Drosophila melanogaster: one gene and its partners. The protein of the gene in region 1 interacts with the protein of each later gene in a pairwise test. Each region holds a gene or a part of one and is shown on either strand. Other genes may lie near its edges. The genes, in order: CG3907, Exo70 and CG14456.

Region 1 (9,687 bases):
GATAAGTTTCTTTATATATTCGGCTGTGTCTACCCCAATACTTTTATTATTTACCTTTATTTTATTATTCATATTTACACGCTATAGTTGGCAGACAAAAATATTAAGTTATTTCTTTCATCGCACTTTCCCGCGTAATTTTTAAATAGTAGTGCTTAGGGAGTGTTGTAAAACACCATTAAAATTTCTTGTTGGAGTAAAAATTTGATCTCAATGAATCACGGTGAACACGGTAATTGTATGCCTATCGATAGTTCCAAATTTTTGACAATAATTGTTCCGGCCCAACCCATCTCTCATCTCTAGATAAACACAATTAAAACGAACAGAAACAATAGGAATAAATAAAGATGAGTGGGGCTCACAGAGAGGCGATCCAAAAGCAGATCCACCAGGACTGGGCGAACAGGGAGTATATCGAAGTGATAACTGCCAGCATAAAGAGAATCACCGACTTTCTGAACTCTTTCGGTAAGCAACCTGCATACGAAGCACCCACTTCCCTCTGACGCATGTGTGTGTGCGCGTGTTTATTATCACTTCCTTTGTAGGTGTGGGTGAACGCATAAGTAATATTACTAACAAATATTCATCAGTGACAATGACTTTATTTACTCAAGTCTTAAGTCTATAGAAACAAACAGTGGTTTGTGCGTGGTGGCATATATGTATAGCAATATATGTATCTACATACATATGGAAATGTATGTATGTAACATCATCGGAGGGCTCAAAACGAAAATTCGGCTTTATCTCTATCCGAATTAGTCACCTAAATGAATTGGATAAGCTTTTTCGGTTGCTCTATGCATAATTTAAGATACGCTAAATACTGTGATAAATGATAAGCCAAAGAGTGCGAGGTAGTTGGGTTGCTAAAATATCCCATATCCTTAATAGGGTTTATGTACACTGTTGGCATTATAAACTGTATCATCGTGTGCTATCATATCCTTTCAGATATGTCCTGTCGCTCCCGTCTGGCGGTGCTGAACGAAAAACTAACGATCCTGGAGCGGCGCATAGACTATCTGGAGGCGTGCGTCGCCCAGGGTGAAACATTAACGTAAACGCTGCCCACAACCTTATACTAAGCTTTGTACATTTATAAGTAATTAAAATACTGATTTAATATTTAATATCTTTTGATTCGCAATGTGAATTGCCGTGACATTAATAATTCGCTGTACATTGTTTGTTTGTTCTTTGAAGGAAGGTTTTCACGGCTGAGTTACTTGCGGCCATCGGATTCGATTCATTGCCCCTTTTAAGAATAATATAAGTAATAGCTCAGAACCAAGACAAGCACGCGATGTTTTTGCCAACTAACCGTAGCTGCCTTTATTGTCAATGTTAATGCAAATCGCCCGCCATATATAAGCCGCTTATTAGGGTCTAGTCGTAATCTTGTGAATGTTTTTTCTAAGACCTTAATTGTGCTTAGATTAATCATCGTTCTAGTAGCAGGAGGCTAGACTTAAGTGCTACATTTGTCATAGTTAATTTATATACTCTCTGAAGCCTGGCAAATCCCCCTTCGATAACGATATAATACTCGGCAGGTGTATGGTAAAAAAACAAATCTCTTTATTCCGAGCACGATCGTAGAAATAATTTTGATGATCAGATATAAGCGTAGACCTAATTAACAGTGCATATAACCAAGAGTTTCCGGAACCGGGATCCGCCTTACACCTTGATTCCCGAGGCCTCGGCGGTGGCGCGGTAGCGCTTGATGTAGATCTCATCGGGATCGTACTTGGCCTGCAGCTGCTTCCACTCCTCGGGCTTGTTTTCGATGATGTAGCGAATGACCTTGTCGGTGTTCTGGCGCTGCTTCTCGCTGCACTTGCTGCACTCCGTCTTCAGGGCGTCCGGCAGGGACTTCTTGAGCTCCCGGCCCTCCGGGGTGCACTTTCCGTTGTCCACCAGGCACTTGAAGTAGTTTCCGAAGAGGCGGTCCGACTTCAGGATCTCGTCGACGTCGATGTTGTCGTACTTGGTGGTGTACTTATCCTCGGCGGCGACCAGCACCAGTCCAAGGACGACAAGCGCAAGTATCATCTTCATCTTGGAGTTTTCTGCGGGCGAATTGGGGTAAGTATGTTTGTACGATTAATCAGCACTTTTGTGGCTTAGTGGGTCTGTTGGTCGGGCAACCAGTTTTGTGCGCAGGGGATTTTACTGGGCAATGGAAAAATATTTTTACTAGCCATCGAGCGCGACTGCATTCGCAAAATGTATCTGTGGACTTATGGGATTTGTATGCAAATTAATGCACAGCCAGGCAGGCCACTTTGTATGCGTATCTGAAACACATTCGCTGTCTGAAAAGATGTCACTGTTTATACACAATGAAACTGGTTGCCCGTCTGGCTGCGTCCATGAGTGTGTGGACTACTACCAGCCACCAGTCGACCAGCCGAGCCGATCGGCTCCAAAAACTATAAACGGTGCGGTGGTCTTACAATGGGGCTCGACTTGTGGGGCGACTCGGAGCGAATAGATGTGAAGCAATTCAGCTGCTGGAACTAACTGAGAAATGTTTCTATGAAGTGGGCTTTTATACCTGGGCCCACTTTTTACCTGGGATTGAACTTCAAGTGTAATACACAACACAAACCGCGCGCTGTGAGCCTGTGTTCGAGCTCGGCTCGTATCCATACGGGATTGCACACACTTTAGACTTTGAAGCGAAAATCGCTATTGCTGAAAAGTCAACCCAGTGATTAGTCAATCGTCGTTATAAATTTATATAATATATGTGCGATAGTTATACACACTTAAATTGACATTAACATTAGGCAGGTGACGTCTGAGTACTAAACGGCGATCGAAAGTCGCTCTGCGAGAGATTCGCAGCCACGATGGACGGGCTAACTTGGCGATATGTTATTTGTTTACCAGATTTAACGATCTCATTAGCGATTTCCATTAGCAATTTCTCATTTGTTACACTTGAGACCCGTGCAACATGACCCTTTAATAGTCGCTTTAAAGTTGATTGCAATAATAAATAGTTCTCGGAACAATTAGTAGCTATCCATCAAACGCTAAAAACCTCGATTCGAAACTGAGTCAGCCGCATCATATTCCAGAAGCTTTCCGGAAAACAATTGTGTGGAAGTTTGAACTTGGCGTCGTCCATCCCTCATTCGAACGCAGCCCAGTTTAAAGCAGTCATGTCTCGTAAAATGTACTTGTTTCCTTCGATTTTTTTATTAAATTGTATTGTAGTTACAAATAGTGAAATGTAAAAAGTAACAAACACATACACTTTAGAAATCTGTACAAGGAAAGTAGTCGACCTGCAAAGGTAATTTCGTTTGTTCAGGATTTCCGGATGCAACTATAACTTTAGGCTTAAACGTTGTGTGTGTCTCGAAATAAATTGTCAGGAGGCAGTTATCAGTAGTTGATCATTGCGCAGGAACAAATCATAACTGGATCTGGGCAGGACGCTTGCGTTGGAATATAGAGTCGATGGTGGAGAAGACGTCGCTGGACTTCTTGGCGGCGTCCACCTTGAAGTGCAGACCCCTCAGGCCGTAGTAGTCGACCAGCGGCTTTGTCTGCTTGTGATATGCTTCCAGTCGCTTCTTCAGAGCCTCGGCGTTGTCATCGCTGCGACGGATTAGGGGCTCTCCAGTGACCTGCAAGTACACAAGGTCTGCTTTCATTTAGAGTTCTTGGATAGCGTCCTATAGAGATACTTACATCGTCCGTCATTGGCTTCTTTGGAGGGGCAAACTCTTCGTGATACGAACGCCCGCTGGCCTGGTGGATCAAGCGGCCAGTGATGCGCCTCACCAACAGACTGTCGTCGATGGCAAACTCGATGACAGCATCCAAGTTGGTTTTCCTCTTGTCCAGCAATGTGTCGAGCTGCAAAGTGCGTTTCGAACGGATTATAACCTAAAGTCCAAAGTGCTTCACACGTGTGGCTACCTTCTCAGCTTGAACGACAGTCCTGGGGAATCCGTCCAGGAGGAATCCATTCTTGCACTCGGGCTTGTCCAGGTTGGAGTCGATCATGTCCACGACCAGGTCGTCGGAGACCAGTTTGCCGGCATCCATGACCTTCTTCAACTCGGCTCCCAGCTTCGAACCGGATGAAATCTCCGCCCGCAGCATGTCGCCGGTCGACAGGTGGCACACGCAGAACTTCTCCTTCAGCAGGGGAGCCTGAAATGGGCATAATTAAAAACATTGATAAGTTTCAGTTAGAGCTAATCAATTAATCAATTTAGCACCATATCGGAAGGTAAGCAAGGTAACCAATCGGCTAGATAAGATGCATTTCTTGAGGCCAGGAATGTTCTGGTAGCCTTTTAATAGATGGTCTGCATAATACCCAATCGATTGCCTAAAGGTGTTCCACTTAATTCGCCACATCTCGCCAAGGCTTTGATTTGATTCAGGGTCAAGAGAAAGACACTGCTTGACGCATATGTACATACTTGGCACGTAGATACATACATATACATTTCCATGTACACATCGTCTTATATAACTTCACCAGTTTTAATTCTCTTCCAAGAGAATTAACGAGCTTCACCGATTATTTGCAAACAAAAACCGCGCACTTGAACACGTTGTATTTATTTATAGACTACATGGCGTCCGTGTCACAAAAAACACATCATTATGTAATTTTGACCCACCTGCGTTCCTTTGCCGGAACCCGGCGGCCCCAGGAGAATGGCGTTGATCCCGATGTTCTCAGGCTCATATCGCTCCACTGGTACTGCTGCATTCGGCGCCATCGTTAACTACGTATGCTCGACTGATTATTCGGGACTGCTCCTAATTCATAGCCAAACGGAGCCAGAAATGAAGGTTAAAGATAAGAAACAAGAGGCGAAATCATTCACACGAAACACCCTGTGCGGCATATTCCCACTCTGTTGCTTCTCGCCTATCGATAACATTCTTACATCGTTTTGATATTTTAAATGGTGATAGGTGTGGGCTGTCTTTTATCTTTAAATTTCATTTTTATATATCACCATTTATAATGGTCTATAAACTAAGATTAAATTCACCGTATATTACATAACGTTCCATTACAATAGTTATACCAAATAAAAATACCCTGCATTTAATTAATTTAATATTCCTATAACAATTTTATTTATTCTGGAATTCGCGTATTACAGTTGCCATGGTACATTTTAATATTGCCCTCGCACCGGAAATAAGCGTCGAATATCTGTGAGTATCCGTGATCCTTCCACCAGGTGCACAGCTGGCGGTTCCAAATGCAGTCCAGTCTGTAGATTAAGTTCGGGTACTCGTATCCCAGCAGGGTGAAGAAGTCCTGGTCGCCGAGGTGGCCCTTGAAGGAGTACTTGGCGACCAGGGTGTGCACCTCCGAGTGGGTCAGCTTCTCCAGGTAGGACTTTGAGTTACGGATGCGGTTTAGGAGCAGCAGGACCACGCCGGAGTTCAGGCCTGGATAGCCGTGGTGGACACGGCTATGTTGGTTGCCCCCTTCGTTGTTGATCGGATAGTAGGGATTCCCGAAACTGGTCTTCGGATAGCGCACGCGATAGCGGTAGAGGATGTGGCGGTAGACGGGGGTCAGTTCCGGTGCCAGTCCGTACAGCTGGTGCGGCAGAAAGTTGTCGAACTCATTGAACAGCAGTCGGACATCGGATCGGAAGACTATATCACAATCTAGCAGAATGGCTCTGTTTAGGCTCCTGTCGGCGATCCTGTGAAGGCCGAGGGACAGGAAAAAGAGGGAGTCGCTGTAGTACGAGTTCGGGGTTGAGCTGAAGTACGGGGACAACTTGGCGGCTATGTCTTGTATGATGCTGGAGCAGACCTTCACGTCGTATATGGTGTATATGACCGTCCGCCGGAACCGCCTGATCTGTCGCTGCAGGATCTCCAGCACCGAGGGCTGGCTCTCGCTGTCCGTGATCACGTGCAGATGCAGCTGGGCACTGGTGTGCTTCAGCAAGCTGTGGGCGAACAGGTCGAACTTAAGGTTCAAGTGGTAGTTCTCCCGCGTGTAGATGACGAATATGTTGTAGTCTGAGGACAGACCGTTCAAGTGCGAGCTCAGCTCCAGCTGGGTGGAGGAGTAGTTGAGCAGATAGTGCGTGGGCCTCAGCACCGGGGGAACTGACGGGGTCGTGGCCGGGATGTCGGGATACCTCGCCTCCTGCTTCTCCGCGTGCGAATGCTTGTTAAGCCGGCTCGAGAGGAAGGCCGAGAGGATGTTGCCGCGAACCAAGAGATGCGTGTTGGCGAAAACAATCAGAACGCACACACAAATAAATATTAATAAGAGAACTAGCTTCTTTTGCCACCTGCAACGCAGCAGGGTCCAAGCCCAACTCTTCGGCTTCTGGCGGATTGAGTTCCGCCGATTGATGATCAGGGTCACGTTCTCCTGATCCTCCAGCAGCTGCGATTTACACTTCATTCCGTACATATTTAGGTCCGCCGGAAACGTTTTGTGTTTCTGGCTGATTAAAGTCTTAAAGCTGTTCTTGGCCATTTCGAAATCAGCGGAGGAGTACCTATTGCAACAGTACGTCGGCGTCAACGAACATATTATGGGACATATGGAGGCCAACGTTAGAAAACACTAAACGGAAACTCTGAGCAGACGAGCAGAAGCGCACAGAACATTTTTGACGGCTATGAACTTAATTAAACTAGATCGATAAAGCGAGCACGGCGTAAAAATCAATGCAAGTCTTTTGGGGGCAGTGAGACCGTTATTACGAATCCGGAAATTACCAAACCTATCGAACGCCCCCACTTTTTGGGTCAATTTAATTGATCATTATCGGAGGATCCAAGTTAAATGTACTTCAAAAGCAGCTCATTTAAAAGGTATATTTAGCATAGGCAGCCAATTTAATTTCCAAAATAACTTTCATCGCTTATCGATAACCAGCGATTAGTCTTAATCACCGTAATCTGAAATCATGCGCAGAAGTATCTTTTTTATCAGTATAAGTACATGTTATGGTTGCTCCAGCATTACAAAAGCAACTGGGCTACGCTGAGAAAATGTAATAGCCCAGCCCTGCGACCGATTGCAAGAATTCCACTGGAGACCAGAGTTTCTAGAAGACGACCCCATGGACTGCCACCATCGCATTGAAGTGCCCCTGCGGGCCGGAAAGAAAATGAAGAAGCGTCGGGAGCTGGACGCCCTGATAGCCTCCCAGTCGTCCTCGGGCAAGAGAGCCAACCGGAGAGTCCCCGGAGGCACCAACTCCCAGGACAAGCTGCTCTCCGTCTCGACCGACGACCCTGAGGATTACGCATGGGTAAGGTATTTCTACGCTACTCTGCTGCTTACATCGCTACTCACATACTCGATCAAGTACAAGGTTAGCTGTATTTGTATCTATGTATCTGAACCTGCCCAATTGAACTTTCCCAGCTAACGAGTATCTGAAGATACACATTCATTGGGAATTTATACGCACATACATGTATGTACATGCTTATATGTGCCTCCCACCATGCAAAGAGTGAAATATTTAGCAACCCAATAATATTGCGTTCTTTTCAGACAAATGTCGCTGGCAGTCGCCGCAGCCATCGAAAAATAGCCTATTTCCGCATGTGCGGCCCGCTTCTATTCGGCATTATGGGCATTCTGATTGTGGGAATTTTGTACTGGCTCTACTTCGATCTGCGCCAGCAACTCACCGACTATCGCCAGAAGATCGAGGAGGGTATGGTGTACACAGTCTGCTACGCACAGTGCGTCCTTAATTATGTAATCTTTCAGTGTCTGCCATGAGCAAGAACTTCCCGGACACCCTGCAAAGATGGCACGAGACTTCGTCCTACCTGCTGAAGAACCAAACAGCCGTCATTTCGGAAATAAATGATTTGCAAAAATCAATGGAGAGCCTGCGGAACAACTTTAGCAACCTGGAGGCGGCCGTGGCAGCGCAAAGAAACCACGGCAAGGACGAGAAGTTGGTGGCTGATTTCGGGGCCAAGATAGAAGCCGTCGCCACCGACATAGAGGCCATCAAGGAGCACTACAATAAGTACACCGAGGTGCAGAAAACACTGCAGGCCGAAACGGAAGCCTTAAAGGTAGGTCTCGCTATCAGTATACGCTGAGTATCAACACAGTAATGAACATCTTGCTCCTGCAGCTCAATCTCTCACAGCTACCCACGATTCAGGCTAACGCTTTACCCGCAAACTTATCGGATGATATTGCTGCGCTGAACAAAACCACTTTTAATTCATTTAAACTACTGGCCAACGATCTGAAGAATGTGAATAATACCCTAAGTCAAACAACGAAAATCCTCAGCGAGGAAATATCTCTGCACAAGGTAATCTCTTCCAAATTCTGCTGCGTTATCAGCTCTAATTTGCTTTATTTATTGCAGACGAAAATAGACGACCTGCTGGATCGATCTGAAAACATTACGTCCCATGTGGCCACAATAAGTAACAGCTGGCCGGAATATAAACAGAAAGTGACCAGTTTCGATGAATCTTTGGAGAGAATTGAGAAAGAGGTAGGTCGATCGAACATGATTACAGGTAGAGATGTACTAAACTTGATAAACTTCAGATAACGCTGGCAAACAACAAGAACAATATGCTGGCCGCTTCCGTGGATCAGCTAAAGAACTTTTGCATTCAGAGCATGGGCAATATTAAAGCACCCAGCAGCGAAGACGGATCCGTAGTCCCCAAGGTATAAATTATAATATAGGTATGATTGCTTATCTTCTAAAGAGTTTCAACATTCGATTACAGCCCGAAGCGATTGCCGTCAAGCAGGAAGTCATAAAGCCGTCTGCAAATGCTACAGTGAAGCTTCAGGAATCCTTGAAGCTGTAAGCTGCTGCATTGCTGCGTTGTATTACCAAATTTGTTCGATTCCGTATTTAGCCATTAAGACCTCATGGATTCCATGTGTCCGAGTTACAGCCAACGATAACTAAATTACAATTACATTTATTGCACACGAAAACTGCAATGTACATATGGTTCGAAGAGCTATTTAACTTAATGACAATTTATAGGATGACGATGTGCACGTGTGATTTCAGTTAAGCAGTTAAGTTTAGAAAGAGTAAATGTACATATGGGGGGGGCGAAGTAAGTGTAAGTCCAACATTATTCACTTTAGATACACGATATGTATTTTATTTGCAAGTAATAAATCAAACTAAAGCTCACAAAGCCAATACATTTTATTGCAGAACTTGAATGAGAACATAAAAACAAGCAATTTCATTTAACTCAGTCGTCGTCATACTGATCGGCGAACTCGTCATCATCGTAGTCTTCGATGTCTTCGGCCACATACTCGGCCTTCTGCTGCTTCCGGAGGAGCCAAGCCTTGTAAGCTTCCTCCTCCTCGACAGTCGGATCGTTGGCCTCGACGAAGTCCTCTGGGTTGTGGGGGAACTCCTCCTGCACCATCGGCAAGTGCTTGAAGGGAATATTGCGGGCGTAGTACTTGTGGCCCCAGCCCAAGTATATCGACTCGCAGGTCTTCTCAAAGATGAACGTGTAGGCGCCTGGCCAGACGTTCGACTGCATCACGAGCATTCGCTCCTTCTGATTCGTGTACTTGCTGGTCATGCGGGCGAGCCAGGAAACTGGCACCTCGGGGTTCATGTCATTGGCACAGGAGGAGAGGATACTGGGACCCAGTTCGGGCTGATTGAAGCC
Region 2 (11,618 bases), on another chromosome or scaffold:
AAAGCTGCCGATTTCCACTTTGGAAATGACTTCTCCACCTGGACCGATGCGAAACAGGTAGAGGCCCATACTGCCTTCTCGAGGGATCAGGATCAGAAGGTCTATGTCCAGCATTTAATCGCCAAGAATGGTGCTCATCTGGCGAGGCTTATAAAAGACCTGAATGCCTATATCTACGTGGCTGGCAACTCCAATAATATGCCAAAGTCTGTCAAAGAGGCCTTTATCGAGATACTAGATGGCGATGCCGATTACGTGGAACTAATGATAAAACAGCGACGATATCAGGAGGAAACCTGGGCGTAACACCGTATTTATTTGCGTATAGTTCCTATTTGTACAGTTTTGGACGGAAATTATATATTTGCACACACTTCTTATGTCGATTTCAAAAGTCTTCCATCAGCTTTTCGGAGGATGTGTGACAAAAGGGACAGTGACCTTTTTGCAGCACTTGCAGCTCAAAGTCCTCCGCATAGAAAAGCTAAAAAGGGTTACTTAATATACGAAATGAAATGATGTGGTTTGTATAACCTTACCAGCAGACATTGAGGACAATAGGTAACCTGAAGATCGGGTAATATATTACGATAGTACACATTCCGCACATTCTTTCCCCTCCGTTTAAGAATCAGCACATGATTGGGATCTATGGCACGCAGGCCATTGCGATCCAAGCTCAAAGGCAATGCACTGGCCACATCCTCGTTAAATGGATCCGAATCCTCGGCGTGCTTTGCAGGAGCCAGCAGCAAGCGCTCCGCCTCGGCATCAGAGATATCCACTTCTGGATAAAATTGTACTAGGGGTAGAATTTCTAAAAAGAGGCATCATCATTATCAGATATCTAAGCTAATAGACAAAATTCCATACCGAAGGAAACGAAAGAGAAAATATAATCCTGCCGGCAAGTGGGACAGCAATTGCTATTCAAATGTTGACTGTAGTTGGAGCACTTGTAACATAGTGGCAAAAGCTCCTCCGGATCATTGAAGCCACTTTTGCAAGCCTTGCTATTTAGAAAATTTAGCTGAAAAGGTACTTCATAAGCATATCATTTGGATGATTAATGTTTTCACATCACTCACATCAATCTGCTCTTGGACTCCAGCTGGTGGCTTCAACGACTGCAGTCTCTTGTTAATAAGAAGGCATAACTTGTTGGCCTGCAAAAACTTAGCTTGCTTGGCCAGAGTGAAGAGAACCGAACTGGAAGATAGGATTTCTGTCGATTCACGTTCTACTTTTGCGATTTGAGCTCTTAACTTACAACATGCTGACACCTTTGGGGACACCTTTGTGCTCCACTTCGTTTAGTATAAAGCGGCTTACGTTAAATAGGCTAACTGGGGAATGTGTGGTGAATGGTTCTTTCATATATGAGTATATGACACTGTAGGCGTAATAAACCTTGGCAACACGTAAATGATTTTTGTACTCCGTAAGGTGGTGATCAACAGGATTTTGTTCTCTATAAAACAAAAGTTTTAGAAATTAAGAAGTGCACTGATTGTAATATTTCACTTACTCCTTGGCGTGATATACATCTAAATGTTGCTTGGCCAGCAGCCAATAAAAGTAGCTCGCATCCAAGTAGCGCTCCTCCACGATGGCCGTATTGCTCAGTTGCTTAAGCAAACGATTGGCTTCCTTGGTGCGTCCTGCCTTTATGTAGGCTGAAAAGTAAAACTTTTATATTAAATAAACATAACAAAAGTTATAAACTCACCCTGATGCGCCTCTATAAACTGATCCGTTTCGGCCAGCCATTGCCCATGCTGGTAGTGCACCGTGGGCAGAAGTTCCGGCAGCGATTCCGCCAAACGAAATGCTTCCGGCCAGTCGCGTACCTCGATGTGCAGTTGCACCACCTGGGCTTCATCGCCCAGCTTCTTGAAAATCTCAGCAGCCAGGGGAAGAGCTTTGAGGGTCTTTAGGTTCTGGGCCACCGATTCCAGGGAATCGCGTTCCGTAAGACTCAGTCGTCGTCCGATATCGTAAAGCCTGTAAGAAGTTAGGTTTATTATAAACGATATGTGTGCAATTTTCTTGATTTCCTTACACATCGGCCCATCCTTGCTCTGCGACAATATCAATGGCCTTCTGATTTTCGCCAGCTGAAAGCAATAGTTCCGCAGCAGCTCGTGGCTCCTTAACCGAATATGCCCATTCCGCTCGCTTGCGTACCAGTTCCTTCTTCTCCTGGTCGGTGCCGTCCTTAATATACTCCTGGGCTAAATCGAACATACGTAGATCTGTGTACATTTCAAGTGCTCTTGAGGACTGGCCGCATTTGAGAAATAGACGAGCTGCCTCCTTGAACTTGCCGGCAAAGGCGCAATTCTCTGCGAGAAGTACCTCCTTAGGAACCGCCGATCGCTGTTGCTGATCTCGTAGCTCACCGATGAGTTTGAGCCACGGAAGATTCCTCACCTTGACGTAGGCATCGCGAGCGATATTTATGTGCAGTGCCTCCAGAGCGGATTGAGCTAATCCCTCCCAGTCGCTGGTGGTCACGCCCAGGCAGGCGACCTGGTAGGCTTCGCTGAAATAAAATATAACATCTTTTATTAGGAGATTCCAAGCAGAATTGGAATATGTCTTACTCAAACAATCCAGCTTCGATGAACTGCCACATGGTGGAACCGAGAGCCAAAGGCGTATTGTGCATAATATTTCCGCGCAGGCAGAAGGCAGTGGCTCCGCAAAGCCCCACCACCACGCCATGCATGTTCTGTGGTGCCCTCGGCGGCAGATTCCCCACGCGAACGCTTAATCCGCCTGTTGTGTGGGTATAGCAGAGCATCGAATCCAGGTGCGTGTTCCAAGTGACGCTGTTTACACCCGTATCCTGGTACAAAATTGTATCGTTGATTACGTCCCGCACAACCAAGCGACCCACATCGTCCACAACTGCGATCTTGCTGCGCTTCGAATTGATATCCAGGCAGCGAACCGCTGACACCGCAGTGGTGATGAGCAGTGGTAGTGAGTTGTTGAGAAAGATTCGGAACACTTGGCCGTTCTTCAAGCCCACCATTAGTCCTTCTCTTCCCACGGGGCCACCGGTGACTTTGATGTATCTTATGAACGAGTCCATGATCCACTCGCGCTGCAGGACACCCATGAAATCCAGACATTGGAGACGCTTCTCCTGGCACAGGACAATGTGACGGCCACAAACAACCAGCAAGCTGCAGTCGAACTTTTGCTGGATCTTCTCGCGCACTTTATAGTGCATGGGTTGATCCTCTCCAGAGCTCAGCTCATAGAGAACCACACGTTCCGGCAACTGAACCGCCAGTCGATTCCGATAAATGGCTATTTTCTGAACTAAATCTCGACACTTGATGCGCACCTTTTGGCCAGAGATCAGGTGCTGAATGATCACGTCGCACATGTTTTCCCGGAAGGCATAGCGCTCGCGGTAGAGGGCATGCACGGTACTAGACGCAATGTTGAAGCAGGCCAGGGTTCCATCTTGACACCCAATGGTGTAGGATTGACCATTGGGATGTAGGGCAACTGTCCAGATCCAGGTGTCAAAGGTATCGCCCAACGTACCCAGCCGAATGCCCTCCCTGGTGAAGAAGTGTAGACCTCCAGTGCAGCCGCCCACCAGGCAGAACTCCCCATTGGGAAAGTACTGCAGGCACAAGGGATCAAAGCCCAGGGTTCGCTCCTTGCCAATCATCTGGCCGCTCAGAGTGTGAAAGGATAGCGTTTGGCTCCAGTCCACCACACCGATGGTGTCCACACTGCCAGGACCGCTGGCCGGACAACATTGGACACTGAAGACGTTGCTGTTGGGCCCACCAGGCCGATCGATTCTCCCCTTCTCCTCGCCCAACTTGTTCCTAATGGATATGGTGCCATTGGCCAGGCCCAGGATCAGGTACTGTCCATCATTGGTCCACGAGCAGCCATTGACACGCGCGGATATCTTGTACTTTTGCACCGCCTTCTGATCAGCCGACCAAAAGGCAAAATCCGACAAGGAGCACGAGGCCAGGTGGTGCGAAACAGGATTGAAGCTCATGCACTGTATGGAGTCACCGTGCCTATGAATGTAAATATATTTTTATATTTATATAAAAAACTAGAATTTATTGCAAGTGTGCTGAGAACTCACGAATACTTGAGCAGTCCCTCAAGCTGAGGTGACCACACGATGACCATTTTATCGGAGGCTCCGCTGGCGAACCGCTTGCCATCCCGCGAGTAGGCCACACAATTGACCGTATCCTTGTGCGCCTTCAAGGTGTTCAGCAAGGAGCCATCGTTTGGATCGTAGATGAGCAACCGATCCCCCGCAGCCACCACCAATTGGCTGCCATCGGGTGCGTAGCACACATTGTGGACACTGGAAAATTGGGTTTTGCAAATACCGTTATGGCGTTATAGCAAGCAACAGGTTGTTGTTTTCCACGAATGAGAAAGCTTTACCTGATCTCATTGTCTTTGCTATTGGGAAACTCTATGCGTTCCAGCCACTTGAGAACACCCCTCATTGTTGCAGAAGTCGAATTGGCTAATCCTGCATAGTTGGTAGAAATTCCTAAATGCAGGTGCGTTGTTTACACACAGATTCCATGGCAACCAACCACAACAAAAGTTGGCGTCTTGGCTGGAGATGGCAGTTTGGCGGGTTTTTCCGTTAGTTTTGGCTTTTAAAACTAGGACTTGACTAATAAACTAGTACTAGTAGTAAAAACAATTTATTTAAAACATAGCCTCATTATCGTTTACCTAATTGTCTAAGTGTACAATATTTAAAAAAAGTTTCTATTACTATCTGAAATGACCGTTATAATTTTTTTTTTCGTGCAAAGTAGTTGGCAACGCGGTAATTGACAGTATGACCAAAGCCAGTGTGCATAAATGCCTAGTTTCGTCAAAACAAAATAAAATAGAATTGTTTTTTATATCAGAACTATTGTTTGTTTTTAAAGGATTTTAGCTACATATACGCTTGAAAATGAACAATTTGGACAGTTCATTGCAGGCGCACAATAAATTGGAGAAGGTATGTCTAGTTGTCATGCTCAAAACCTCCATACTTACCCATTTTCCTCATAGGAAGCCACCAATTTAGCTCTGCTGAAAGATCGAGTGGATAAATACCATGATCTGTCCACGCAAATGTCCAGTATTCTAACAATCTTCGAGAAGCGCCTGGGAAACCTGGAGCAGACCATATTGCCCGTCTACCAGGAGACGGAGCAGCTCCAGAAACGGCAGCAGAGTATGAAAATAAACTCAATGGGATTTCAAAAAAAAAAAACTAATGTGTCACCGCCTCTTTTTTTTTTTAGATCTGGAAGCTACTCTCAATTGTCTGGAAAGCGTCCTGTCCCACTACGATGTCTCCCAAGAGGTCTGCCAGTTGATTCATCAAGGCCCGGTGGAGGGAAACATCTCGGTGTTCCTCGACGCACTAGCCAAACTGCGCGATGCCAACGATTACTTCCGGCACAACAATTCCCAGAGCGTGGAGCTGGAGAATGTCACCAGTTTGTTTAACACCGGCTGCGAAGGCCTGAGTCAGCACTATAGTATGCTCCTCAAGAAGCACAGTGCTCCGCTGAAGCCGGTGGAGTTGCTGGATCTTATCTACATAGAGGACGATTCCAGCGATGAATACACCTCATTCCGGCAGCTTTCGCAAACGACGCGCGAGGAGCTGTACACCATATCGCACTGGTTGGAGCAAAATTTAAGGGAGTACACAAACATCTACGCGACGGAACGGGGCGAAGTGGTTCTCCGATCGCTGCAGCTGCTCAAGGATCACCAAAAGAGCAACAGTTGGGGTCACGAGGCTCTGGTGAGTAAACAGTTCTTTCATATTCTAACTAGTATTAATACATATATATTATGTGGAGAAAAATAGTACGTAGTAGAATATGAATAGCGATGTGTACGATGATGAGCATATGTATGCTTTTCCCATCTCTGATCGTTTCGGTTAACGGTGTCTGTTCGAAAAAGCTTGTGCATGTAAGCATTACATGTCCAATTCGATGACCGCCATTTGCCAGCTTGAATTCGCAAAGAACGCATCATTTTCTGTGTCACAGTATCTAAAAAAAATGGAGAATTCTCGCACGCCCACGAACAAGACCAAAATTACGCTTAATCGCACGCCAACGCTAAAGGAGCGCAGATGGAACACCCTGAAGGTGAACACCTCCAACGTGCGATGCTCTACTCCGATCTTTGGCAACTTCCGTTCGCCCAATCTCTCGCCCATCGAGAATATGGGCACGAAGGGGAAGAGTCCAGTGTCGCCCATGCGGTTCGCTACCTTCAAGAAAGTGCCAACGAAGGTGCATCCCAAGCAGCAGCAGCAGCAGCAGCATCAGCACTGCCATCGCACTCAGCTTAAGCCCCCGCCATTCGTGCTGCCCAAGCCGCAGGAGGAGATCATCGAGCCGGAGCGAGAAATAAAGAGCTGCAGCAGCCCGGATACCTGTTCGGATGACTCGAATATGGAGACCTCACTGGCCTTGGAGTCGCGTCGTCGTTCCATCAAAGCATCGAACCACTCGTACGTGGTTAACCATGCCGCCAATGTGGAACAGATTCTCATGCACATGGGCCTGGAGAACTATGTGACCAATTTCGAAGAGGCTCACATCGATCTGGTGGAACTGGCATCCTTGGAGCGTGCTGATCTTGTTAAAATCGGCCTAAATACCGATGAGGATTGCAACCGTATCATGGATGTGCTCCACACTCTTTAAGTGAATCGCTGGCATGTCCATCTTTTATCATACACTAAGATTTTAAAATGTTTTATGTGAAGAGAAACTTTGTGATTTTAATATATGTGGATAATTAAGTAGGTATTCTAGAATTATTGTAAAAGACCTGGTGTCTTAAAGCTCGTCGTTTTTAGCCTTAAATAATAAACTCTAGTACACTTTAAGAATCTATGTAATTCCTAAAATGTTGCTCCGAAGCTCATTTACAAATTTAAATTTATTTCGTAAGCTAGCAAATTGCATAATACTTTTTGTCAAAAAAAAAAAAAAAAATTGGGGTATAAACGCTTTTGTAAAACACACATTTTTAAAATTAATAAACTCATAAGAATCAAATGCATATTAAAAGGTTACAAAAATAAGAGTTTTTAATTTGCTACCATTTTAGTACCTTAATTATTCCGAAGAAACATTAATGCAATGGCAATTAACAATTCAAATTAATGTTTTTAAAATGTTTTCTTGCAGAGACCGCGACACAGTGGACGCCAAACGGAGCCAAAAAAGACAACCTCCGCTCGTCTTCAGCAAATGTGAGAAATATTACTTAATTTCCAAGTTTTCGTATATGATATATTTAATTTATTCTGCATAGATTCGAAAAGAAGGCGAACAAGTTATATTTACGCGCGACGCAGACGATTGAGCAGTCCACAGGGTTCTCCATTAAGAAGGCATCATCGCACAGCGACCACCTGACCTCCGAGGATTTGATGGATGGCGATCAGGAACTGGACAAGTATCTGGTCATGTTGCTGGGACTGCAGCGGTTACTTAACTGGGAGCGAGCCATCATGATCGACATTATTCCCCAGTCGAAACACAACGAGGTATTCGCCACCTTGGCCTATAATGCCATCGATCTGGTGGTTAAGGACGCTGAGGCCATTACGCAACGCATCCTGCGCTGCATTTCCCGCAAGGAGTGGACCTCGGCGTTGGGAATATTCTCCGCCCTAAAGCGGGTTATACTGCTGCAGCCGGATATTGACCGCACATACGATCCTGCGCAAAGGGAACAGTTGAAAAAAGTACTAAAAAAGTTGCAGCACACCGGTGCCAAGGCATTGGAGCATTTCCTGGACGTAGTCAAGGGCGAATCGAGCACCAATATTGTGGGCCAAAGCAATGTTCCAAAGGATGCCACCGTGCACGAGCTGACCTCCAATACGATCTGGTTTATTGAGCACTTGTACGATCATTTCGATGTTATTGGTTCCATTTTGGCACAGGATGTCCTGTACTCCACGCAATTGGACACCATTTTGATGAAGAAGGCGCTGCCAGTCGAGGAACGCAATAAGGCGCTCTTGGCGATTTACATAAGTGAGTGGCAACAAGATCAATTGTGCGAACATTTTTAAACCACTATCTATATTTTGCAGAGAAAGCTTTGGCCGAACTGAATCTTTCCATAATGAACAAGTGCGAGCAGTACAATGACCAGGCCACCAAGCACCTCTTCCGACTAAATAACATTCACTATATCCTCAAGTCGCTGCAACGCTCCAATCTTATTGATTTGGTCACCTTGGCTGAGCCTGAGTGCGAACATAGCTACATGGAGATGATACGTGAACTGAAGGCTAGCTATCAAAAGACCTGGTCCAAGATGCTGGTCGGCATCTATTCCTTGGATGAACTGCCCAAACCAGTGGCCGGCAAGGTCAAGGATAAGGATCGCAGTGTGCTCAAAGAGAGATTTTCTGTAGGTTTTTATTTTTAAAATAAGCTAAACTTTCTTGATTTAAAAAAAAACATCCTCTATAATTTCCAGAACTTCAATAAGGACTTTGAGGAGGCATGCAAAATCCAGCGGGGCATCTCCATACCCGATGTGATCCTGCGAGAAGGCATCAAACGTGATAATGTGGAGCACATACTGCCCATCTACAATAGATTCTACGAAATGTAAGCGTATATAGGGTTTATCAGCTTATACCTAACCATCTTGTATCATTTTTAGTTACTCTGGAGTGCATTTTAGTAAGAATCCCGACAAATACGTCAAGTACAGACAGCACGAGATCAACGCTATGCTGAGCAAGCTCTTTGATGATTCGGCTTAGATGTTAAATGCAGGCCAGGCTTTAAGTGCATTCCTTGTAAGTTCGTTGGGGGGCTTTAATTCAAACTCAATAAATATCGTTTTAAAAAAAGTACAATACAAGACTATAGCCTACAAATATTAAATGCCAAGTGAAATGAAGACGCCACGCATACATACGTCCTAGTAAAGGAAGTTAGTGGATGGTGCTTCGGGGCGGCCACAGGCGCCGTAGTAGTTGACGTTCACCGTCTGGTTCGCCCTGCAGTTTTCGATCTCCAGGAAGCAGTCGTTCAGATACGTTTTATTGTCGCTGCCGCAAACAGGCTCGAATTCCCTGGGACAGATGCGGGCACATCCTTTAAGCTGAAAGGCGGCAAGGCAGCGCTTCAGTGGCACCACGAAAACATGCTTGCCACAATTCTCCTTGCGCATGTGGCACTCGGACTTGTACAAGTTGTTGTCCGATCCGCAGACGAAACTTGGCGGCTGGGCATCACAATCCGATTCGCAGTCGGCGGTTAAAGCGCAATTCTTTAGCGAAACGGGCACCACACGCAGATCGCAAGTGCGCCGCTTGAACTCGCACATGGAGGCGAAGGTGTTGCCATCCGAGCCGCACACTGGCTGCTGTTCCAGATCCGCCCGAGTACAGGCATCCCCGCAATCCTTGGTGGGCGAATTGAGATCCGTGCAGGGACCAATGTGGGCCAGATTCACGCCGCGTCTGAAAAGAAGTTGAAGAGCTAGATCCATGTCCTATGGATGATCCTATCATGGATACTCACAGGCAGGTGGCGTGGGCCAGTTCGCACTCATTGTTATAAGTCTTGGCGTCCGTGCCGCAGAGCTTGTCATTTCGCTTCGAGCTGAAGATGGAACCGAACAAGCTATTGAAGTCCTTGCAAGGAGGCAGCTGTTTGCAGCGGGTCAGTCGATTCTTGCACTTGTCCATGCTCACTTTTTGAATGGACTTGCGCTGTGGACTGAAAGATAAAATTTTAGTCTGGTTATATTCCATTTTTATCTCATCCAAACTCACCCGCAATTGAGCATTTTGAGTTCACACAGCGAAGAGTATATGTTGCCATCACTGCCGCACACGTACTGCGACGAGGAATCCGTATCCGATTTGGGACACTCCGTGGGACAGGCATCGGAGGCTCCGTGCCTCTCCTGCGACATGCAGTAGGATAAGGGAACCTCAAAGACGTGCTTGCCGCAATTGGAAGAGCGCATCTTGCACGGACTGGCATACAGTCTGCCATCTGATCCGCAAGTGGGCCTCGCCACACGCCAGCAGGATTCCCTGCACATTCGTGTGGACTGACAGTGCTTCCGGCTGGTTTTCACCACACCCTGTCCACACGTCTTCAGCTTCATCTCGCACGTGGAGTTGTATACATTGCCATCCGATGAGCAAACTGGTCCATCCTTCGGCGCACTGTTGCAGTCAACCGGACAGGACTCACGCACGGCACTCGTGTTGCTGCAGGGACCCACATGCGATAGCTTCACTGCAGCCAATCCCACGCGACACGATTGCACCCTCAGCATGCAGCGATTCAGATAGGTCCTTCCGTCTGTACCACACACTGGATCCTTCTCCGTGCTGCAGCGGTGCTTGCAGTCCGAACCCTTCGACCTCTCGCAGCCATCCCGCACGTCCTTGATCAGCGACACTCCACTGCGGGAGCAAGTCTTCTTGCGCAGCTCGCAGATATTCGCATAGATCAGACCATCGCTGCCGCACACGGGCTCAGCTCCCACGGTGATGCTCGGTGGACAGGATCGAGGACAGTTGCCGGTGCCGGTGTTACTAGCCCTATTCCGTCTGCCCATCTGTGACAGCTGCTGTTGCTCCGTCTCCTCGCGCAGCAGCGACTCCAAGGCAGCTGCCGCCGCTCCGGGTGCCTGCATCAATGTGGACGACAGCTCCGGTCGCGCATCCTGACGATAGTTGATCAGCAATGAGTTGGGCGCCGCATCTGCACTGCGATAGCGGATAACTGGCGCCTGCGCCGGCAGCCGGATAATCTTGATGGGTGAGTCTGTCACAGCGCCTGTGGATGGAAATGATTTTAGAATTTAATTGGTTTCTATCTAGAAACTTAATTCTAAACATTTAAAGCAAGACAGTAGTTCCTCCTCCTCTGTTATATGAACTTATTAAACAAAGCTTAGTAATAATTACTACTTCCCCGCACGTAATGACCGGTTGTCCATCGAATTTTCCCAGGGTAACTCTGTTTCGAGACCGCCAAATGAAACTTTCCCTTCGCATTTTCCACAGCTCTTTAGCGGTGGCATGCGGAAGAGTCAACTGTGGGCATACAAATGTCAGATTAGCCGCACGATCATAGGGCATTTTGCGCAGTTGTGACCCACTGTGTCCATGCCGCCACCCGCCGACACTCCCCCGCATCCGAGACCAGTCTCTGATTCTGGAGTGATCGCATGACCGACTCAAGTAACCAGCCATTAACTTGAATAATTCTTTCCCTTTTTACTAACGGCAACGGCAAATGTTACCCGTCTTCAAATCTCGATTCCAAGTAAAACGACACAATGGCATTTATGTTTTGGCTGTGGTTTGAGCACAGCTAATACACTCGCTTCGTTCATACGGACTATCAGCGACCTCCATCTATAATTGTTCATGCTAATCCCCTCCAGAAATCGTAAGCTTAATCTGTGCTAAAAACTGCAAGTGAAATTTCCACACTAATTGCCTCCGGCGCCGAACATTTCTGTTGTCTTTGGTCGGATGTGGAACTGCTGGTTTAGTTTGGGTTGATTTGTCC
Region 3 (8,340 bases), on another chromosome or scaffold:
GGCATTAGAGCATTTAAGACGTTTCCACAGGCATTCCCACGCACATCTACATATTCTATCCGACAAGCGGCGAATCCGCGCAATTCCAAGGCGGCAGACAATTGGCCCTATCCCTGGAGTTTATTATACCAGAGCTTGAGCGCTCGAAAATGCTTTTCTTGCAGCCAAGCTCAGCAGTCAGCCCGCCTGGAATCAAATCAAATAAAATATTCATTTTGGTCTTTGAACTGTGCATAAATGTGCTGCTGTTCACGAAGTGATGGAGCCACCCAAGCCCTGGATACTTAAATCTATTGGATGTGAATAAAAATTACGCTGAATGTGTGCATATATAAAGAGTGCGGTTTGGTGACGGCACGTCATCATATTCTTAGACGTTTCAAAAAGCCAAGGATAACATAGAGACTGACAGGGGGAATCGATGTTTTTTGGTCTTTTTTTTTTTTGCATAACTGCTTGAAAGCAGTTCAAGATTGGGGTTATATTCTGTTAACAATATTCGAATCCACATTTGCTTCTTTGTGCCCATTAATTGCTCAGATCAGACGCATAGAGAATGCCGCCATCTCTGAAGGCTGAAGAAATTTTTTATCGGATTTTCTCGCTACAAAATTGCATTTCAGGGAACTTCGTCCGCAGACTGGGCAGCAATTGAGGGAAACGAAAATAAGCAAAATGCCGCCAGCCAAAAGGTAAAGTACGTTAGGCTGGGCCAACCCTTATTGTTGTCATTTTCCAGATTGCCATTCTGCCATCAATGCCGATTCTAAGCACAAAACGGAGAAAAATGTGTTCTTTCCATCAGATTATTTCCTTCAGATCCGAACCCCTTTTTTAAATTGCTGTGGCATGCGAAATCTTAAAGGAGTCGTAGATTAATGCCCATTTAAACAAATCCTTCAGACATTTTGAGTAACTAAACCTGAACAAGAAAAGGAACTTGTTTTTGCACTAATTGTGGTTTCAGGTGAGTAAATCAAATAATCTGGCACTGTACTGCCGAGAACATTGAAACATAGTTAGAGAACCCGCTTCCACCGCAACAGGGCATTGGCTTTGTACAAGATTTAAATGCGCTAGAAATTGTTTGAACTAAGCTCTGGAAACAGGAGATTTATTGTCCCGAAAAGGAAAGCTCTCCCTCCGCAGTGTACCACCACACTGCCCTTGGCATTATCAACGAATTCAATAAACCTACAGCAGAGGCAACAGTTTCATGTCGTGGACATTGGAAACGGGAATTGGATGCCTAATAACATCGGGATCTGTGATTTATACCAGGCCAGTGTGAAATGCTAAAACATTTCCTCAGCTGCAAGCTATGTGAAGGTCCTCTGTTCCTGTAGCAACAACTTAATGCGCAACAACAAGCTGCGATGTTGTGACCAATTGAAAACTCCACCAAACGGCAACGAAGCTAAAAAAATATTCGGCCAGCTGGGAAAGAGAAATGTTTTGTTTAGCTTAGTTTCCTTTTTTGTTTGTTCAACTAGAGACTCGAGGCTCTGAAATTGTTTAGCATGTCCTTTACTATTCAAACAATTTGCATATCCTTTTAGGGCAGCGAGTATACTTAAGAAATCAGCAACAACCATAGCAGAGGGCCGAGAAATCCACAGCAGGCATACCAACACGACAGTCAACCGAAATCCAATGCCAGCTCAAGAATTCCGGTTGGGATCACAGGGAGTACTTGTAAAAACAAGGCGAGGTTTCAATACACTGCTCGCTATATTATCAGACCCCCTTAAAAGATAAGATAGACACCTCTACTAAGTAACAAGCATTACTTTCATATGGCTCTACACACTTGTATTTTATTTCAATTATCAACGATAACTGTTCTTTAATTTATTGGAGTCCTATTAATTGGTACTTAATGTGCCTTTGCGGTATTTTCGTTGGCAAAGACAAAGACAAGTGGTCGTGATACTCTGTGAACGGATATTCCCGCCTCGACAGGGTATTCTTTAACACGTTCGAGGCGAGTCCGGAATGCCCAGCTCAATTGTCATAGGGAAGTTACTTTGAAATGGTGGGATGTGGGGCGCAGGCGAGACGTATTCGAGTGAGAAGTGAGTGCAGGCGGATCCTTGGTGCCATTCCTCGAACTTCGACATCGTCCCCCCTCTTGACCAGTTGCCAGCCATAATATTTATGCGCAGACGTTGCTCCATAAGCCGCTCAAGGATTTATTAGCCAAATGGGAAGATTTGACTGGCTGGCTGAAGTGCTTCTCGGCTGGTCTGTTGGCCACGCTGGCATATGTGCGGCTCTGTCGTTCACTGAGAAAAAAATTTGTGAAATCGGCTTTTAGGGCTCCATGCCACACAGCTGAAAAAATGATTGTTTAACAGTGCAGCAACCTCAAAGTCGCGTTAGAGAAATTCGCATTGTTTGGGCTGAGTAGCAGCCGAACCATTGATGAATGTTTTCAAAACGTTAGCATTGAATGACAATTTTTCAAGATTTACTGGACTGTAATCAGATAAGGACGAACCCTTTAGGGTCCTCGTAGCGGAGGATGGAGGCACAGCTGGGCGACTTCGACAATGAATTTCCTTACACCGGGGTCCCCCTTGGGCTCTGGGGCGTTATGTCGCTTTGTGTGGCTGTCTAATGGAGCTTAAATGGCCGCTGGCTTGACCCCTGAACTTTTTCTTGGCAGGAATAAAGTTTCACGAGTTCAACAAAGTGAAAACAAATGCATTGTGCGGATTAGGTCGAGGATGGTCCAGGGTAGGGAGCTTAGCACAAAGACATTTACCTTTTACACCTCTTTTTGGTGGCTTCTGGTCTGGTAATTGATAAAAGTTGTTTGGGGCAGATTTGTCCAGAGATTTGTATTATCATTCCGGGCCTATTATACCCGGTAATTGAAATTGAACATTTTATTGAGGGGAATCATCGAGTCGGTTAACGAGGCAGAGGCGCCGAGAACTTTTTTGCATTCCTCATTGTTACTGTCGTTTTATGGCTTCCTCGATAACAGCCACACTGCATCAATATGCCAATCAACAAATGACCAAATAACCAAATCCAAAGCTCGGCAAACTCAAACTCGCATAAATCATACCAAGTGGCACCTTCATTTGGGCAAAAAATAGCTAAAAGCGGTTTAAAATTCGCAAACTGTCATTGTCGGATCACAATGGGCAGGGCACAAGTCACAAACATTTCGTTGCGACTATATTGAATAATAATTTGATGTTGTGGGCCTCCTGTTTCTCTCGAATCCGTACCATTTTAATTCAATTTGGGAATGGTTCAAAAACACGAATCCCGCCGAGTGTCGAAATTCGAGAGCAGCACGTGAATAATATAAAAAAATTTATTGTCATTGATGATGGTTTTGCAGGAAACTGACAATGGGCAAATTCTATGAGCTTCATAAGCACTTTAAACGCTTCTTTCAGTATTGAAAAGAAGTTATAAACAAAAATGTCTTCTTTCAATTAAATAATTACAATGTAATATAGTGCAAGATAATAAATATTCTTAGTATAACTTTAAAGTCGTTTAATAGTTATCAACAGTATTCTTTTAAAACGAAGTAGATAAAAAGGGAATGTTGCAATTTGGATACGACATGAAAACTATAGACGTTGGAAACTTTTTAATTTCAAGTTATGTAGTTATCGCTCTTTCTTCCCGAATTTAACAATTCGGTAATTAAAAAATCATGCGACCCTTTAAACAAAATCATTGGTTTGCTCTTTCTGCGGCAGCTTTATTTGCTTGCTATCTGGATAACACGAAGTGACACTGACAAACATTAAGTAAATACCATTGGGACACGCGACTCAGATGGGTAGCTCATTCCGGGGCAGGGCCGAGCCTAGCGGGGCTTCTAGGCGATTTTGGGCAGCATTGCGAAGATGCCGGGCTTCAGATTATTGACGTCCTGGACGACGAAGTCCCCACCGAAATGGTCGTTCATTATCAGCGTGCGCTTCTTGCTGGCGTCCACGTGCATGGCCTGCCAGATGATCTCGAACTCCAGCTCGGGCAGCATGGCGGTGGTTGGGTCCTCTGGCCACCAGAACTTGTTGATGAAGTAGGAGCCCTGTAATTTGCGTTTTAAATGAATGCGGTGCCAATGGTATCGGCCCTAGAACGTGACCGAGAGTGGGGGAGGGTCAGCTGGAACCCTGACAAGAGTGCTCCACTCACCTTGGCGATTGGGCAGGTTTCGACGATGTTGCCGAACTCGCGGATGAATCCGTGCACGAAGCGCCCCACCGGTGACTTGTTGGCGAAGCCCAGGATGCGGCAGACATTCAGCGTGGTGTTTAGATTAGTGTTGTAGTACGGGTCCTGCTTGTTGGTGATGCGCACCTCGACGTGGATGTCTACGTCGTGCAGCTCCTGGTGCACCTCCATGGAGAAGTTCAGATGCGGGTCGCTGTTGTCGTAGACCACCTTGTGGCTGACGAACTTCTCGTCGCTCCAGAACTTGATGTCCTTGAACTTGGGTCTCATCATTTTCTGGAATAGAAGCCAGCTGAGGGATTAGTTCAGTGGCAAGGCGCTACTCTGCGAACTCTCACCTCGGCCAGGGAGCCATGGCACATGGCCATCAGGACGGGAACCAGGACCGCGGTATACAGCAACATTATGGAACGACTGCAGTAAGCTGTCTTCACTGTCTGGTTTTGTCCGGCGACGGCACTATTTATATGCAAATGGGCTGAGCGATTTTCAGTTCGATCTTATCGGAAATTGACTACGTTTCGAAACAGCTGAATGCTTTTCCAAAGTCCACCCACTTAGTTGACTTAATTCACCACGACAACGTGGCTGGGCCTAATGTTCGGAGCGCTTTGTCGCCCAGTGGGGCCTGACTAATTCTAATTGCATACATATAAAAACTGACTAATTGAATAAGAGCCAGCCTCAATGGATAGTTGGAGCAAGATGCGTAAGGAGGTCATCCGAAGCTGCTGTGCCGTGGCCTTCATTTTGGTGGCTCTCATGCCCTTGACTGGAGCGTGGGTAAGTTGGGGTGGATCGGGCTGGTGCGGGACATGGGCACAGTTCTGATTTATTGCCTTCGCCAGCGCTCTTTCAAGGTCATCCTCACGAGCATTGACTTTGAGGCCAACGACAAGTTCCTGGACCTTAAGGTCGATCTGCAAAACGATTCGGGCGAGTCAAATCTGAGCATCGATATAAAGACGCACCAGGACATAGAGGACGTTCAGCTGGTGGTAGACTTTGGTTTGGAGACGGACAAGGGCAACTACTCTACCCTGATAAACCGTACGCTCAACTTCTGCAAGCTGATGAAGCAGCGCAACTCGGATCCGCTGGTGCGCGCGATCTACGAGGACCTTCTCAAGCACGGCACCCTCTTCAAGGAGTGCCCAATCCGGAGCGGCACCTACAGCCTAACCAACTACAATGTGGACGAGGAGATGCTGCCCAGCTTCCTGCCGGAGGCTAAGTTCCGCTTCGGCATGAAAATTTCGACGGACAAGGGCGGCATGATCGTACGGTCGACCATCTTCGGCCGCATCGACAAGTCCAAAGGCTTCGACAACCTGAAGCGGTTCAGTCTCGGCTAAGATACATATACCTCGCATGTTCCTCATGGTATCTCCTGCCCGCAGGAGATCCAATAAAGTTTTGATGCGCGTCCAACACTGCCTCGTTTTAGTATTCAAACTGCCTTTTGTCGCACCATTGACGTCGTCATTGTCGCCTCGTCTTGTCCTCCCATCTAACCGCCCCAGCAATCCTCCTTAGCCGCTTGTCACGTGTTTGCCTGCTCGACTGCGAAATTCGCATGTTTACCCGACGGTGACAAGCTGTCTGCAGGCAGCCACCAGCAGCGCAATTGATGACGACGATAATGGCGTCGGAGGGGCTGCTGATGAGCAACAGACGACAATGATTTAGGGTGTGTGTGGAGCGCAGAGAAGCTCCATGCAAATGCATATTCCGACGAGATGATTGGGCTGATACCAGTAGGGGCGATAGTCGTAGATAAGGTATTCACATTCACACAGAGAAAGAAATACGGGTCTTTATCTTCCAGCACTAGACTAGACTGGTCTAATAAAATTGGGATAATATTAAAATCATGAATATTCACTTAAAATGGAAACGTGATAATTACATAAATCTTTACACATATACTATTAATTTTAATTTAACTTGCTAATGCATTTAATATAATTGAATCTTATTTATGGCTTACGTTTGTAAAGTGGATTTCCTCAATTGCTGTGATACCGTTTTAACGTTAGGTAAAACTAAATTTTGAGTTGAAAGTCAGTCTGAATCAAGTGTTCTGTTCCTCATTTAGGTATTTTCCCCTGAATGCGGCACAGCCGCATTGTTGGCCCTTGTTTAACTATCTCGAATTACCCAAACAGGCCACGTAAGAAGGCGTACGACTGCAGGGGAAGGAACTTTCCCACAAGTTTGAGCGCGATAATAAAAACTTGCGAATGTTTAACATTTTTCGCGAAGCACAGTCCTAGAAGGGGCATCTCCTGGCATCCCGCATCCCATCCCATCCCTTCGCGCCGAATCTGTAATTAAGGATGCACTGCACATCGCTCGCGACGAGAGTCGTTGACAGCAGCTAAAGTCGCGTTGAGTCCCGTGAGTCACTCGATGAGAGGGAAATAAGCAAAAATTTCTACCCACACCATATATCTAAGCGAGCTCGCATCGAGCTATAAATCTTCAGTAGGAAAGTGCAATAACTTAGAAGAGAGCGGCTCCTTTGAGCTTCCCGTTCAGTACATAATTTCGGGGCGCGAACTTAATTGCGCGACCAGTACACGTCAGAGCGTTACTTTGAATAATGGATACTTTCGGCACTAAGTCCAACAACTCGCAGGTTGGTATGGATCTTCATTGGGCCGTTCGCCTCGCTTTAGGGTCCATAAAAGCGAATCGAGTTGGCAAGCACCGTTTGCCGTCGAAATCTTCCATTTCCCACTTTCCATTCCATTTCCACCTCTTACCCCACTTCCCACCTGGCGACCTTCCGCCAACGGATGACTGCAAATGAAATTTATGCAATTTTCGATTCGGTCAAATTGTCCAAATTAAATTTGTTATATAAAAATGTTAATTTTTTGCTGTCCTGCTCAGTTGAGGTGCTTATTTTCTGCATTTGCTGTGGCTGGTCTTGTGTACGCATTTCAATTATCGACATTTGAGTGACTTTTATTGAATTTATTTGGTTCGCTTCACCTTCGACGCTTGTTCACCAAATGAATTGGAAGCGAGTTCGTGCTTTTTCGGCTTTAAGGTTATCAATTATTATTGTCACATTGTCGCATATTGACTTGGGTTCTCGGGGACTGGGGCTTAAAGAGCGCGCTGGGTGGAGCTTTAGTAGTCCCAAATCTCAAATTCCAATCAGGTTCCAAAATAAAAGCCGATTCTATTGCCATTGGCGTTTGAAATCCGTTTCCAAATTGCATTTAAATAGAGTTCTTCTGGAATAACCGGCGCATATATTGTACCAGAAAGGAACGCGAATTGGGGACTGGAAAAGTGGGTTGGATATGCAAATCGATCGCAAGAAGGAGGGAATATTGATGATTTGCACGTGAGTGGCGAATACTTCGCTGGCGCAATTATCGATTCTTGGCTATTATGAAAGACAGAACCCAGTTATGATTAGGTGGGATCGATGACCTGCTGATAGCCTGCTGATTTACAGCGGGTCTCCTATCTCGATTAGATCATAACTCTTTCGTGCAGCGACGCCTCATACATCGTAATATGGTCAATACCCAAGACCTTAACCACGAAATTGAGTGAATCCGGTCTCAGTTCTGTGGGTTAGCCCTGTCTGTTCGGATTCGCTGGTCGGTGGATCTGCAATCGAAATCACAACTTTTGCACCGCACTCGAATGGAATGCTAATGACGCCCTCGGGCGGTAATCACTGTCGGCAAAAAGAAAGGGGAAATGGTGTTAAACTATATTTGAAGTCTCTCAGGGTCTTTGAATTGTATATTTGTATATTCAGAGACCTATGGCGAAAATTGGGACCGTCCTGAGTTCAATGGCCTGGCGAAAGTTTCTCCCCCCCACAAGAGCTTAAGTGAATTGAAATTTAAAGTTTTCGCAAATGCCGCGGGCTGAAGATTGTTCAACTATGAAAATCCACTCATAAAATTATGTTAATTCTGAGGAACGGGGCGAAAAGGATTCTTATTAAATCAGGCCGAGCCGAGGGACTTTTGCTGGGAATAGAATAAAGGATGAGGCATAAGTAGCATAACTGACAGACAATCGACAAACAAACAGATTGCCAAAAATAACAGGCGACTACAGTGGGCAACAGTGTCCCAAGTGAATCATATACAA

The links.
Region 2: the proteins of CG3907 (region 1) and Exo70 interact in a two-hybrid assay, tested with the Drosophila melanogaster proteins (one large-scale study listed by BioGRID).
Region 3: the proteins of CG3907 (region 1) and CG14456 interact in a two-hybrid assay, tested with the Drosophila melanogaster proteins (one large-scale study listed by BioGRID).

The regions. Positions count from the first base shown.
Region 1 is NT_033778.4:24,019,398-24,029,084, reverse strand, and holds CG3907 (uncharacterized protein), read left to right. Parts: upstream 1-6,786; 5' UTR 6,787-6,852; intron 6,853-6,945; exon of another isoform or gene 6,946-6,973; 5' UTR 6,974-7,103; coding exon 7,104-7,295; intron 7,296-7,543; coding exon 7,544-7,709; intron 7,710-7,765; coding exon 7,766-8,082; intron 8,083-8,144; coding exon 8,145-8,330; intron 8,331-8,387; coding exon 8,388-8,519; intron 8,520-8,575; coding exon 8,576-8,701; intron 8,702-8,763; coding exon 8,764-8,847; 3' UTR 8,848-9,187; downstream 9,188-9,687. Other genes in the region: HSPC300 (haematopoietic stem/progenitor cell protein 300), read left to right, coding at 351-471, 961-1,070; EbpIII (ejaculatory bulb protein III), read right to left, coding at 1,690-2,070; Ak2 (adenylate kinase 2), read right to left, coding at 3,438-3,653, 3,718-3,885, 3,949-4,185, 4,665-4,766; Xxylt (xyloside xylosyltransferase), read right to left, coding at 5,135-6,511; Rsph4a (radial spoke head protein 4a), read right to left, coding at 9,253-9,687.
Region 2 is NT_037436.4:8,406,983-8,418,600, forward strand, and holds Exo70 (exocyst 70), read left to right. Parts: upstream 1-4,868; 5' UTR 4,869-4,978; coding exon 4,979-5,026; intron 5,027-5,064; exon of another isoform or gene 5,065-5,079; coding exon 5,080-5,245; exon of another isoform or gene 5,246-5,315; coding exon 5,316-5,827; exon of another isoform or gene 5,828-5,843; intron 5,844-6,029; exon of another isoform or gene 6,030-6,092; coding exon of another isoform or gene 6,093-6,746; exon of another isoform or gene 6,747-7,121; intron 7,122-7,235; coding exon 7,236-7,300; intron 7,301-7,362; coding exon 7,363-8,093; intron 8,094-8,152; coding exon 8,153-8,475; intron 8,476-8,544; coding exon 8,545-8,678; intron 8,679-8,733; coding exon 8,734-8,836; 3' UTR 8,837-8,928; downstream 8,929-11,618. Other genes in the region: CG13667 (uncharacterized protein), read left to right, coding at 1-306; Oseg1 (outer segment 1), read right to left, coding at 389-484, 540-817, 874-1,030, 1,089-1,209, 1,271-1,471, 1,529-1,676, 1,730-2,004, 2,063-2,545 and 3 more; mtrm (matrimony), read left to right, coding at 6,093-6,746; CG32354 (uncharacterized protein), read right to left, coding at 8,998-9,541, 9,603-9,800, 9,857-10,877. UniProt on the Drosophila melanogaster protein: Required for exocytosis. Thought to function in intracellular vesicle targeting and docking before SNARE complex formation.
Region 3 is NT_037436.4:22,683,661-22,692,000, reverse strand, and holds CG14456 (uncharacterized protein), read right to left. Parts: upstream 4,780-8,340; 5' UTR 4,617-4,779; coding exon 4,551-4,616; intron 4,489-4,550; coding exon 4,174-4,488; intron 4,112-4,173; coding exon 3,851-4,111; 3' UTR 3,713-3,850; downstream 1-3,712. Other genes in the region: CG14455 (uncharacterized protein), read left to right, coding at 4,918-4,995, 5,061-5,567.